4 linked regions of the Saccharomyces cerevisiae S288C genome follow. The main gene of each other region encodes a partner of the protein of the gene in region 2 in a complex. Each region holds a gene or a part of one and is shown on either strand. Other genes may lie near its edges. The genes, in order: MRPL39, MRPL51, MRPL9 and MRPL36.

Region 1 (2,468 bases), on a different chromosome or scaffold from region 2:
ATTGGTGAGAAACCTCCAATACTTGCTGTTGCCGATAACTTCTTCATTGCTTTTTATATAGTTCGGGTGTTTTCTCCTATCCTCTGCTGCTCTCTTTTTCTTTCCATTCGTCTTTGTAATTTATAAGCTGTTAATTTTCATTCAAGTTTCCCTTATCTGTTTTACTTTCGATTTAAGTTTTACATAATTTAAAAAAACAAGAATAAAATAATAATATAGTAGGCAGCATAAGATGAGTGAAACAGAATTGAGAAAAAGACAGGCCCAATTCACTAGGGAGTTACATGGTGATGATATTGGTAAAAAGACAGGTTTGAGTGCATTGATGTCGAAGAACAACTCTGCCCAAAAGGAAGCCGTTCAGAAGTACTTGAGAAATTGGGATGGTAGAACCGATAAAGATGCCGAAGAACGTCGTCTTGAGGATTATAATGAAGCCACACATTCCTACTATAACGTCGTTACAGATTTCTATGAATATGGTTGGGGTTCCTCTTTCCATTTCAGCAGATTTTATAAAGGTGAGAGTTTCGCTGCCTCGATAGCAAGACATGAACATTATTTAGCTTACAAGGCTGGTATTCAAAGAGGCGATTTAGTTCTCGACGTTGGTTGTGGTGTTGGGGGCCCAGCAAGAGAGATTGCAAGATTTACCGGTTGTAACGTCATCGGTCTAAACAATAACGATTACCAAATTGCCAAGGCAAAATATTACGCTAAAAAATACAATTTGAGTGACCAAATGGACTTTGTAAAGGGTGATTTCATGAAAATGGATTTCGAAGAAAACACTTTCGACAAAGTTTATGCAATTGAGGCCACATGTCACGCTCCAAAATTAGAAGGTGTATACAGCGAAATCTACAAGGTTTTGAAACCGGGTGGTACCTTTGCTGTTTACGAATGGGTAATGACTGATAAATATGACGAAAACAATCCTGAACATAGAAAGATCGCTTATGAAATTGAACTAGGTGATGGTATCCCAAAGATGTTCCATGTCGACGTGGCTAGGAAAGCATTGAAGAACTGTGGTTTCGAAGTCCTCGTTAGCGAAGACCTGGCGGACAATGATGATGAAATCCCTTGGTATTACCCATTAACTGGTGAGTGGAAGTACGTTCAAAACTTAGCTAATTTGGCCACATTTTTCAGAACTTCTTACTTGGGTAGACAATTTACTACAGCAATGGTTACTGTAATGGAAAAATTAGGTCTAGCCCCAGAAGGTTCCAAGGAAGTTACTGCTGCTCTAGAAAATGCTGCGGTTGGTTTAGTTGCCGGTGGTAAGTCCAAGTTATTCACTCCAATGATGCTTTTCGTCGCTAGGAAGCCAGAAAACGCCGAAACCCCCTCCCAAACTTCCCAAGAAGCAACTCAATAAATTCACTAGATCAATAAGATTCAAATAAAGCGCACGATATATACCTATTTTCCTATATATGCAGATAAAAAGATAGCACGTTCATTGCTAGCAGGCCTTACAAACAGACTGTCCGATGCCTTTACTACCCCACAATTTATCCCACTTGTGATTTTCAAGTTCGGCTTTTTTTTTTTTCATCATGTCGTGGCAAACGACCAGTATTTTCTATCAGAATAAGAAAAAACTATAATTCACTGCATACAAACGTATTGACTGCTCCCCTACAGCGGAAGATAGTAAGAATACAACATCGTAACTGTTTCCATATTTATGTGCCGATATGGTAAAAGTGAAATCTAAGAATAGTGTTATAAAGCTATTGTCTACAGCGGCAAGTGGATACTCTCGTTACATCTCGATTAAGAAAGGTGCACCTTTGGTTACTCAGGTCAGATACGATCCTGTGGTGAAACGGCATGTGCTTTTCAAAGAAGCAAAGAAAAGGAAAGTGGCAGAAAGAAAGCCATTGGATTTCTTGCGTACAGCCAAGTGAAGAAATATGAATAAGCACGAGCCCCGGCATGTAAGCCCATCGAATACGCAGACGTTACGCATTTTTTTTCATTTATCCTGTAAATAAGTAATGGATACATACATTTTGTATACGATTCAAACGGAAAGAAATTCCGCTAACGAAAAAGAAGTTATATAAAATTACATTACAATAATCAACTCCCTCATAATAAAGTTGATATTTCATTTAGATATGCAAAAACACATATGCATACATACATACATACGTATATGTAAAAGTTAGAATCAAGGAAAACTCGTGACATACAAATGCAAGCATAAATGAAAAAAAAAGATCGAGATTCAGTATTTCATCGAAACATCGAAATCTTCATAACTATTCTTATTAACGTGGTAATATTAAAGTCTTTTTTATTGATTTCTTCTTGGGTGATATTGGTTCTCCTTTTGGTGATTAATGACCTCCCCATGTACTGTTACCACCATAGTTTGACTTATTTCCTTGGTTGTTCCAAGCAGACCTATTTCCATCGTCTTGGTTACCCCATGCAGAAGCTCCGCCATCTCT
Region 2 (2,587 bases):
GATATCGATATTGATGTCAAACTTTTGAAAGTTCAAGTTAATAATGTTCTTAATAAAAAGATTGGTGCGAGAAAAATCTATAAGAAGTTGTTAGATTTGAAGGTTAAACAAGGTACTAAACAAAATAACAAACACGCTGCTGGCATACTTCAAAAGAATTGGAGTGACATAAACTCCTTGGTTATGCCATCCAGCTCTGGATCTTTTGGACTTGGAGATGGTGATTTGGTGGATTTGGATCTCGATACAGGTGATTACGATTTTTTACATAAAGAGAATGAAGTTGAATTAGAAAAGCAATACAAAGATTTATTGAATCTTGTTGTTGATGAAAGTGAAATTGATAAATTGAGATCTCAAGTTTTCGCACAGGAATTAAAAAATTATTTAGAAGCTCAAATTGCTAAAAAGTAGGCCCTTTCTAGTATCTCCTTTATTCGTTTTTATTCGTTACGATTTTCCGGCTTAATAATATAGGATTGCTAGGTCTATATATAAGAAAAGCTTGTAGAAATAAAAAAATAGAAAAAACTTCAAGATAAATATTGTTCTCTTTTATTTTAAGATCCTACAAACAGCACAATTCCCCTTTTAGTTATTTTTAGCCAAGATCAGGATAGCAGAGAACTGAGTCCCTTATTCTTTAATTGAGGGTCAAAAAATTCCGATTGCGAACTTCATCTCCACCTTGGCAAAGGAATGACGAAAAAATGATCTTGCATATATATATTTACTTGTAAAATAATTATTTTGGAATTTTTCTTAACAAACCACCTGACAAACAAACACCGTACGCAAGCATCCCGCAAACATTAGAAAGATTGAACAAAAGACTCAATCCGTGCGACTTGCCAAATTCTTTACGTAATATAGCATCCTTTGCTTCCAATTCACTACCCGTGTATTTCTTCGCAATATTCTTTCTTTGTTCTTTAACTTTATGGGTCCAGGGCAACAACCAAAACAAATTGGTTAGCCCACTGACAGATGCAACCACCAAAGAAGATAATGGTCCTGTTGTCAAGGCAATTGGAGCGGTAAGGGCCAGGATGACAGGTGATGCCGCTTGCATTTGGAAAAAATACGGGAAGATCTTATTTTGCAAAGCAGAAAATTGGTCTTTTTCAAGAACTTTGAATGCGATTGGAGAAGCTACATAGGAATAAAACGTCGTTCCTCCAAATCTGAAAGATTAAGTTGGTACATAAAAGTTGTTAGTCAGTTATTCTCAATTAATCATAATTGTTCAAATTTTTTCTTGTGTCTTAATCTGTACATACACAAAGGAATAAAAAAGCAAATGAGCCGTAGTTTTGACTAAACACATTTTTCGTTGTTAAGTTTACTGGACTGTAAAGCGTAGTTTGATCTGCCTATATCATCAAACAACTCCATTTAACTCCCTTAAATAATACTATTCTTTTCTGTAAGTTTATCGCACTATACGTTACGGTGCTTTCCGTCTTTTTCGGATGAGGGATGCTCATAAGAATTACAACAAATCATAAGCCCTGAGATAAAAAAGATCAATCAATACGATTATCATAAACCATGACTAAGTAGATACACAGACACGAATATATGGAGAAATGGTTGTGAAAGCTATTGCACGAAATTCCATAGGTCGTAATGGAGTTGGAGCATTCGTGTTTCCATGCAGAAAGATTACTTTGCAATTCTGTAACTGGGGAGGGTCTTCGGAAGGCATGAGGAAATTTTTGACTTCAAAGAGATTAGATAAATGGGGCCAGGAGTTCCCATGGATACAGTTTGAAGTGATGAGGAAGTCTGGACATCCTTTGTTGAGGGCAGAATACACAAATGGGCGTGAAAAAGTTATTTGTGTGAGAAACTTGAACATTGACAATGTAGAAAACAAGCTAAAGCTATTGAAGGATTCTGATGGAGACATTTTACGCAGAAGAACAAAGAATGATAACGTGGAAAGCTTGAACAGTAGTGTGAGGGGTATATGGTCGCCTCTGCATGCTGCGAAAAGGCATAGAATTTAGCTTTAGTATATAAGAAAATTCTAGAAATAGAGAGAGATAATTATACTTGTATATATAATTTGGGGCAGATAAGACTCCTGATATTTAAGATTTAAAGTCAATTTTGCCATTGTTATATGATCATGTCCTGAAATATGACCTCTTGTATTTGGTTACCCGCTTTACACCCTGCAAATCACACTAGTCTAATAAATATGGAATAAGACTGAAACATATAAAAGATGTAACTTCTAGGATATCTGAAAGAGCAACCGTACGGTATTCAACGTTTAGATTTGATGGACGGCCTTAGCTTTGTTGATAAAGGGAAAATACCAGATGGTTACAAAAATGAAATAGATCAATTAGTAAAGAAGGAATTTGCGAATATAAAAAGAGAGCCTGTTCATCCCGAAATACGAGGTATACTTGCGAAGAGAAAGGGGGCCGATAATAGTGTTTCTACGCTTACAAATGCATTGTACACCGAATACTTGAAACAACGTAATAACAAAAAAAGGCGAACACCGGATTTTAATGACGACGATGATACTTTATTTTTGGAAGAGTATAGAAGGAAATACCCGAGGATTGAT
Region 3 (3,331 bases), on a different chromosome or scaffold from region 2:
ATCTAACGTCACTGTTGCAGTGGCCGTTGCTGTTCCCATTGGTGCTATTATTATAGTACTATCCGTCGTTTTAATAGTAGTATATAGGAGATGCAAAAAAGAACCTTCTATGCAGGATTTTGACCCAAATTTTGAGGGCGATTTATACTATTTACCGAAGATGGATTCTTCTATGAATTCTGCAAACTCAGACAGCAATGCCACAGAAAAGAGGTTTATTTATGGTGGTTATGACGATTTTTTGCAACCGTCAATCGAAAACTCACAATCTTTCAAAGATTATGTGAGGCGTATCAATGAGCATGCACCCTCCGCTTATAATATTGCTTCACTGGCTTCGCAGAATAACAGCAAGTTATCGGTCCCCTCCAAGCACATTGACCTTTCGAATAAGATTTCTTTCGAATCGTTAGAGAATTCTGAGCTGATTGTTTCACCACAACACTCAAATACTGGGCAAGACTGTGATCAAAGATGTGATAGTACGTCAAATCCTGATGTAAATGAAAAGTCCAGCCATAACAACGATAATCGACTTAAATCGAATTATACGAGTCGTAGCGGGCTCGAGCCTCAGTGTTCGAGAGAGGAGGAAGAAAATATTGACAGAATAAGAAGCATTTATAACATTTATTTTGAGAAAAGTAATAGCACGATACGATCCTCTGTAACTTCTTCGATACGGCGTGACTCTAAATTAAACATCGCTACAAGAAAAAGTGTAAATATGAGCTCTCAAGACAATCCAAATGATACTACATTAATTGAACAGAGTCACTTCGGAAGTACAACTGTCCAAGAAATTGATTCCAGTTCCAGCGCCAATGAGGAATATGAAGATGCAACTGATTATCTGCAAGTGCCGGCACCACAAGAGAATAAAAACATTGCATCGTCAGTATATTCAGAAGTAGCAACCAGAGAAAAAGTGATTCCCGAATCGTCTCTATCTCTTACATTCCCACCACCGAATGGTCTTTCAACGAGAATTACCTCATCAATATATTCTGACACGGTCGCTAAGGACCATATTCACTCTGCAAAGGCTCCCGTACGGGCCCTTTCGGAGGGTTCGGGTCAGTCAAATCTTACTTCTGCTCAGCAATATTCTACATATTTTATAGATCACTGCAACCAGAGCAATGATGACAATTACTACTATAATTATCCCCTCCCGTTAGAACATCCTCAAAATTATGAGAACATCGGAGATTTGCCCACGCCTACCCAATTCATTTATTCCACCTCTTCGCATTCCTTGACGTCATTCAAAGGAAGGCCTAAACCTCCAAAAACACTAAAACATGTACCTACAGCTAGGCTTAATGGGACAGCGTTGAATCCAATGGATCATCCTGAAATGTTTTACAGTTCGCCTACGAAAATACCGTCAACATCTTTGACAAAGCAATTTTGTACGCCCCTTCCATATCAGCTTAGACAAAGTGTTGTTATGACCAACCCATCAGAACTTTCTATGAAACCTCGCTATAAGCCTGCAGGATCTTTAAGAAATTTAATAAAGGCCCAATATCTCCCTGGTAACTCATCCACTACAACATCATCTTCTTTATCACAACCGCCGTCAACGTTGTCAAATGCAATAAATTTCCGTGTTAGTGGGTTATTGGATGACACTGACATCTTGCAGCCTCCTAGTGTGGGGGAAATCTTACCTTTTAAAGCTTCTACGGAAGACTTAAGGAAGCAACTGGGCACATCCCATAATTACGAAATAACACCGTACGAGAATGTACATGTATAAATAAAATTCAAAATCATGAAATGTTGTAACAGTAAATAAGCACCATAAATTCGTTTCTCGATGATCCTCTTCTTTCCTTAATTGAAATGCTAATGCCATTTCTCCTATTACAGTCGCGAGATATTTGTTTTCGGGTAATCCCTTGTCAAACGAACTTTATTGAAAAATATATGGACGATAAATTGACAACTGGGACGAGAAAGGGCAACTCTTTGAAAGCAAGAGAGAACAAATATAGCCATGTCGAAGTTCCTACAGGGATCAATATTTAGCATATCAAAACTTCATGTTAGATATTCTTCTACTCGGCCTTTTCTAGTGGCTCCTAGTATTGCTAACAGTATAACAACCGAGGCTCCAGCGATTAATCACTCACCTGAACTGGCAAATGCGAGAAAATGGCTACCAAAAAGATGCGGTTTAATTACTCGTAAGAAGGGAATGATGCCTTATTTTGATAAATCTACTGGTGAAAGAAGCGCCGCTACTATATTAGAAGTTAATAATGTTGAAGTAATAATGCATAGAACTTCGGAGGTCAATGGGTACTTCGCGTGTCAAGTAGGGTACGGATCAAGGCATTTGTCTAAAGTTAGCAGACAAATGCTTGGTCATTTCGCTTCTAAAGTTGTTAACCCAAAAGAGCATGTGGCCGAATTCCGAGTTAAAGATGAAAAGGGATTAATACCACCTGGCACATTATTGAAACCCTCTTTTTTCAAAGAAGGCCAATATGTTGACGTCAGATCAGTCAGCAAAGGCAAAGGTTTTACTGGTGTGATGAAAAGGTATGGATTCAAGGGTTTGAGAGCATCTCATGGTACATCTATTATGCATAGACACGGTGGTTCTTATGGTCAAAACCAAGACCCAGGTAGGGTACTGCCAGGAAGAAAGATGCCTGGTCATATGGGAAACGAGCATGTTACTATCCAAAATGTTAAAGTTTTGAAAGTCGACGATGAAAATAATGTTATTTGGGTTAAAGGCTCTGTGGCTGGGCCCAAAAACAGTTTCGTTAAAATTCAAGATGCAATCAAAAAAACTTGAGCATAAGGCGTATAAGTATTTTACTACAATCATGTACATACATCAATAATAACAATAAAATGGGTAATCACTTAAGAATCTTCAAATAATATTCTTTACTTTTCCATGAAGTTGGCTAAATAGTATTTAGTACTATATTAGAGTATTGGAACTTTGAAGAACCAATTTACATACAATATGAAGTGAAAAAGAAATGAAAACCCCGTGGTTATAAATTAGAGACTAGTTAATAAAAGGGAAAAAATATTGGAAATTTAAAGAATGATACGCCACCGCCTCTAATCATCAAGTTCGGAAGGTTTTAATAACCCACCAATCTTGGCAGCTTTTTCCCTCTCTAGTCTATTCTGTTCCATTAATGCATTCTCTTTATCTTCAGCAAACAAATAATCTGTTGGATCACCTCCGACTTCTTTGATTTGCACCAAAAAGTCCCTCAAAGTGCCTTTGAAGACCACTAAGTCTTTGTATTGTTTAGTTAATGCAGAGAGAAAACTTGCGATTTGTTCGGATGTT
Region 4 (2,796 bases), on a different chromosome or scaffold from region 2:
CTGGATAATGTCCCCTCTGCAAGAGAGTTCAAAAGTAGCTTTGGCTCTCTGGAATGGAATAATTTCAAAAGTTTTGTCAATTCTGTACCAGATAATGACTCTCAACCTCAGGAAAACATCGGGAATTTGATCTTAGACCGTAGCGTTAAAATTCCGAGTACAGATTTCCAACTGCCGCCACCTCCTAAGTTATCAATGGTTGGTTTCCCCCTGCTTTATAAATATAAAGCTAATCCATTTGCGAAAAAAAAAAAAAACGGTGTCACAGAAGTGAAGGGAACATATATCAAAAACTATCAGTTGTTTGTTCATGATCTTAGTGATAAGACAGTTATACCGTCCCAAGCTCATGAACAAGTCCTGTACGATTTTGAGGTCGCGAAGAAAACAAAAGTCTATCCAGGCACTAAAAGTGACTCTAAATTTTATGAATCGCTGGAGGAATGCTTGAAAATTTTGAGAGAGCTCTTCGCTAGACGTCCAATTTGGGTTAAAAGACATCTTGATGGGATTGTCCCGAAGAAGATACACCATACTATGAAGATAGCGCTGGCACTCATATCTTATCGTTTCACAATGGGGCCTTGGAGAAATACATATATCAAATTTGGTATAGACCCCAGAAGTTCAGTGGAATACGCCCAATATCAAACAGAATATTTTAAGATTGAAAGGAAATTACTATCTTCTCCCATAGTGAAAAAGAATGTACCAAAGCCACCACCCCTGGTATTCGAATCAGACACTCCAGGCGGTATTGACAGCAGGTTCAAATTTGATGGAAAAAGAATACCGTGGTACCTGATGTTGCAGATTGATTTATTAATTGGTGAGCCAAACATTGCAGAAGTTTTTCACAACGTCGAATATTTAGATAAGGCGAATGAACTAACTGGATGGTTCAAAGAATTAGACTTGGTCAAGATAAGAAGGATAGTAAAATACGAACTTGGTTGCATGGTTCAAGGAAATTATGAGTATAATAAATACAAGTTGAAGTATTTCAAGACAATGTTATTTGTTAAAGAATCCATGGTACCCGAAAACAAGAACTCAGAAGAGGGAATGGGTGTTAACACCAATAAAGATGCTGATGGGGACATAAATATGGATGCAGGTAGTCAAATGTCCTCAAATGCCATAGAGGAGGATAAGGGTATCGCTGCTGGTGATGATTTTGATGATAATGGCGCCATAACTGAAGAGCCAGACGACGCTGCTTTGGAAAATGAAGAGATGGACACTGATCAGAACTTGAAGGTGCCTGCAAGTATAGACGATGACGTGGATGACGTTGATGCAGATGAAGAAGAACAAGAAAGTTTTGATGTTAAAACAGCGAGCTTCCAAGATATCATAAATAAAATAGCTAAACTAGATCCTAAAACCGCGGAAACAATGAAAAGCGAGCTCAAGGGATTTGTTGATGAAGTCGATCTGTAATAAGTAGGTTTTCTTTTATTTCAATATCAAAATATGCCAAATGTGCAATAAAACCATAACTACGTATGTGATATTTCTGAGTTTTGTCCCCAAACCGTAAAGAGCGATTATCTCGTGCAAAATGCATCAAAATCAAATAACTAAAATGAAAGGGTATCATTATTATTCCTAAAAGTTAAGAATGCCTCCAGAAAGAACGGGTACCAACGCAAACGAACACACGTTTTGTTCACTCCTAATGTTGAAGTCTATATTTGCGAAGCGATTTGCTTCCACAGGGTCATATCCTGGTTCTACAAGAATTACTTTGCCAAGAAGGCCTGCAAAAAAAATTCAACTGGGGAAGTCACGACCGGCTATTTATCACCAATTCAATGTCAAAATGGAGTTGAGTGATGGAAGTGTAGTTATCCGGAGATCCCAATATCCAAAGGGTGAAATTAGATTAATTCAAGACCAGAGAAATAATCCGCTGTGGAATCCTAGCAGGGATGACCTAGTCGTTGTGGATGCTAATTCTGGTGGTAGCTTGGACAGATTTAACAAGAGGTATAGCTCTTTGTTTTCTGTCGATTCAACGACCCCAAATTCAAGCTCTGAAACAGTTGAACTATCTGAAGAAAATAAAAAGAAAACACAGATTAAAAAGGAGGAGAAGGAAGACGTTTCTGAAAAAGCGTTCGGTATGGATGACTATCTATCTCTGTTAGACGATAGTGAACAACAGATCAAATCAGGTAAGTTGGCCAGTAAGAAGAGAGACAAGAAGTGAATAGTGTTTGCTCCCCTTACTTTTCTATTCTCGAACCAATTTATATTCCTTTTGGGACATAGATCTCAATCGCATCTGTTTGAAGACTACATAAACAGCCTTGTATATACCGCAACATATACACATACGTCTACATATGTATATATTGACAACGAAGATTCTGCGAACGCTTGGTTTGGCGCTATCGCGATAGATTAAGTGCAACAAGACACACATTTACAAACATAATATGAACCAGATATGATTCATGGATTATCGAGGCAAATGGTCTGTGAATGAAGCTCACTTACGCTGCAATAAGCAGCAACGGCATTGTAGTGATCATTTTCTACGCCTCGTAATATTTCAGCGCAGTGGAAAAAAATTGAAAATTTTTACTCTTCTCGAGTGTTGAATCACTGCTGCGATACTTATCACGTACTTTGTATACATAATTTTACTTGCAATTAGGACTCGAAATCTGTTCAATTACTTTTGAGGATTTCTTTTATTTTAGTTTCCCTTTTTGCATTCGTGTTGATTTTCAAGAAAAATTGTCGTTCTTCAATATCAGTAGACGATTTTACTCTCAGATTGTTAAA

Evidence for each region.
Region 1: MRPL51 (region 2) and MRPL39 share a complex: the UniProt entries of both Saccharomyces cerevisiae proteins name them as parts of the mitochondrial large ribosomal subunit.
Region 3: MRPL51 (region 2) and MRPL9 share a complex: the UniProt entries of both Saccharomyces cerevisiae proteins name them as parts of the mitochondrial large ribosomal subunit.
Region 4: MRPL51 (region 2) and MRPL36 share a complex: the UniProt entries of both Saccharomyces cerevisiae proteins name them as parts of the mitochondrial large ribosomal subunit.

What each region holds. Positions count from the first base shown.
Region 1 is NC_001145.3:250,755-253,222, reverse strand, and holds MRPL39 (mitochondrial 54S ribosomal protein bL33m MRPL39), read left to right. Parts: upstream 1-1,706; coding exon 1,707-1,919; downstream 1,920-2,468. Other genes in the region: MIN4 (Min4p), read left to right, coding at 1-61; ERG6 (sterol 24-C-methyltransferase), read left to right, coding at 233-1,384; transcription elongation factor SPT5, read right to left, coding at 2,355-2,468. UniProt on the Saccharomyces cerevisiae protein: Component of the mitochondrial ribosome (mitoribosome), a dedicated translation machinery responsible for the synthesis of mitochondrial genome-encoded proteins, including at least some of the essential transmembrane subunits of the mitochondrial respiratory chain.
Region 2 is NC_001148.4:728,202-730,788, forward strand, and holds MRPL51 (mitochondrial 54S ribosomal protein mL43 MRPL51), read left to right. Parts: upstream 1-1,589; coding exon 1,590-2,012; downstream 2,013-2,587. Other genes in the region: LEC1 (Lec1p), read left to right, coding at 1-414; TMH18 (Tmh18p), read right to left, coding at 746-1,184, 1,281-1,327; YPR099C (uncharacterized protein), read right to left, coding at 1,556-1,912; SNT309 (Snt309p), read left to right, coding at 2,291-2,587. UniProt on the Saccharomyces cerevisiae protein: Component of the mitochondrial ribosome (mitoribosome), a dedicated translation machinery responsible for the synthesis of mitochondrial genome-encoded proteins, including at least some of the essential transmembrane subunits of the mitochondrial respiratory chain.
Region 3 is NC_001139.9:935,558-938,888, reverse strand, and holds MRPL9 (mitochondrial 54S ribosomal protein uL3m MRPL9), read left to right. Parts: upstream 1-2,005; coding exon 2,006-2,815; downstream 2,816-3,331. Other genes in the region: TOS2 (Tos2p), read left to right, coding at 1-1,765; exportin CRM1, read right to left, coding at 3,094-3,331. UniProt on the Saccharomyces cerevisiae protein: Component of the mitochondrial ribosome (mitoribosome), a dedicated translation machinery responsible for the synthesis of mitochondrial genome-encoded proteins, including at least some of the essential transmembrane subunits of the mitochondrial respiratory chain.
Region 4 is NC_001134.8:483,389-486,184, reverse strand, and holds MRPL36 (mitochondrial 54S ribosomal protein bL31m MRPL36), read left to right. Parts: upstream 1-1,681; coding exon 1,682-2,215; downstream 2,216-2,796. Other genes in the region: transcription factor TFIIIC subunit TFC1, read left to right, coding at 1-1,443. UniProt on the Saccharomyces cerevisiae protein: Component of the mitochondrial ribosome (mitoribosome), a dedicated translation machinery responsible for the synthesis of mitochondrial genome-encoded proteins, including at least some of the essential transmembrane subunits of the mitochondrial respiratory chain.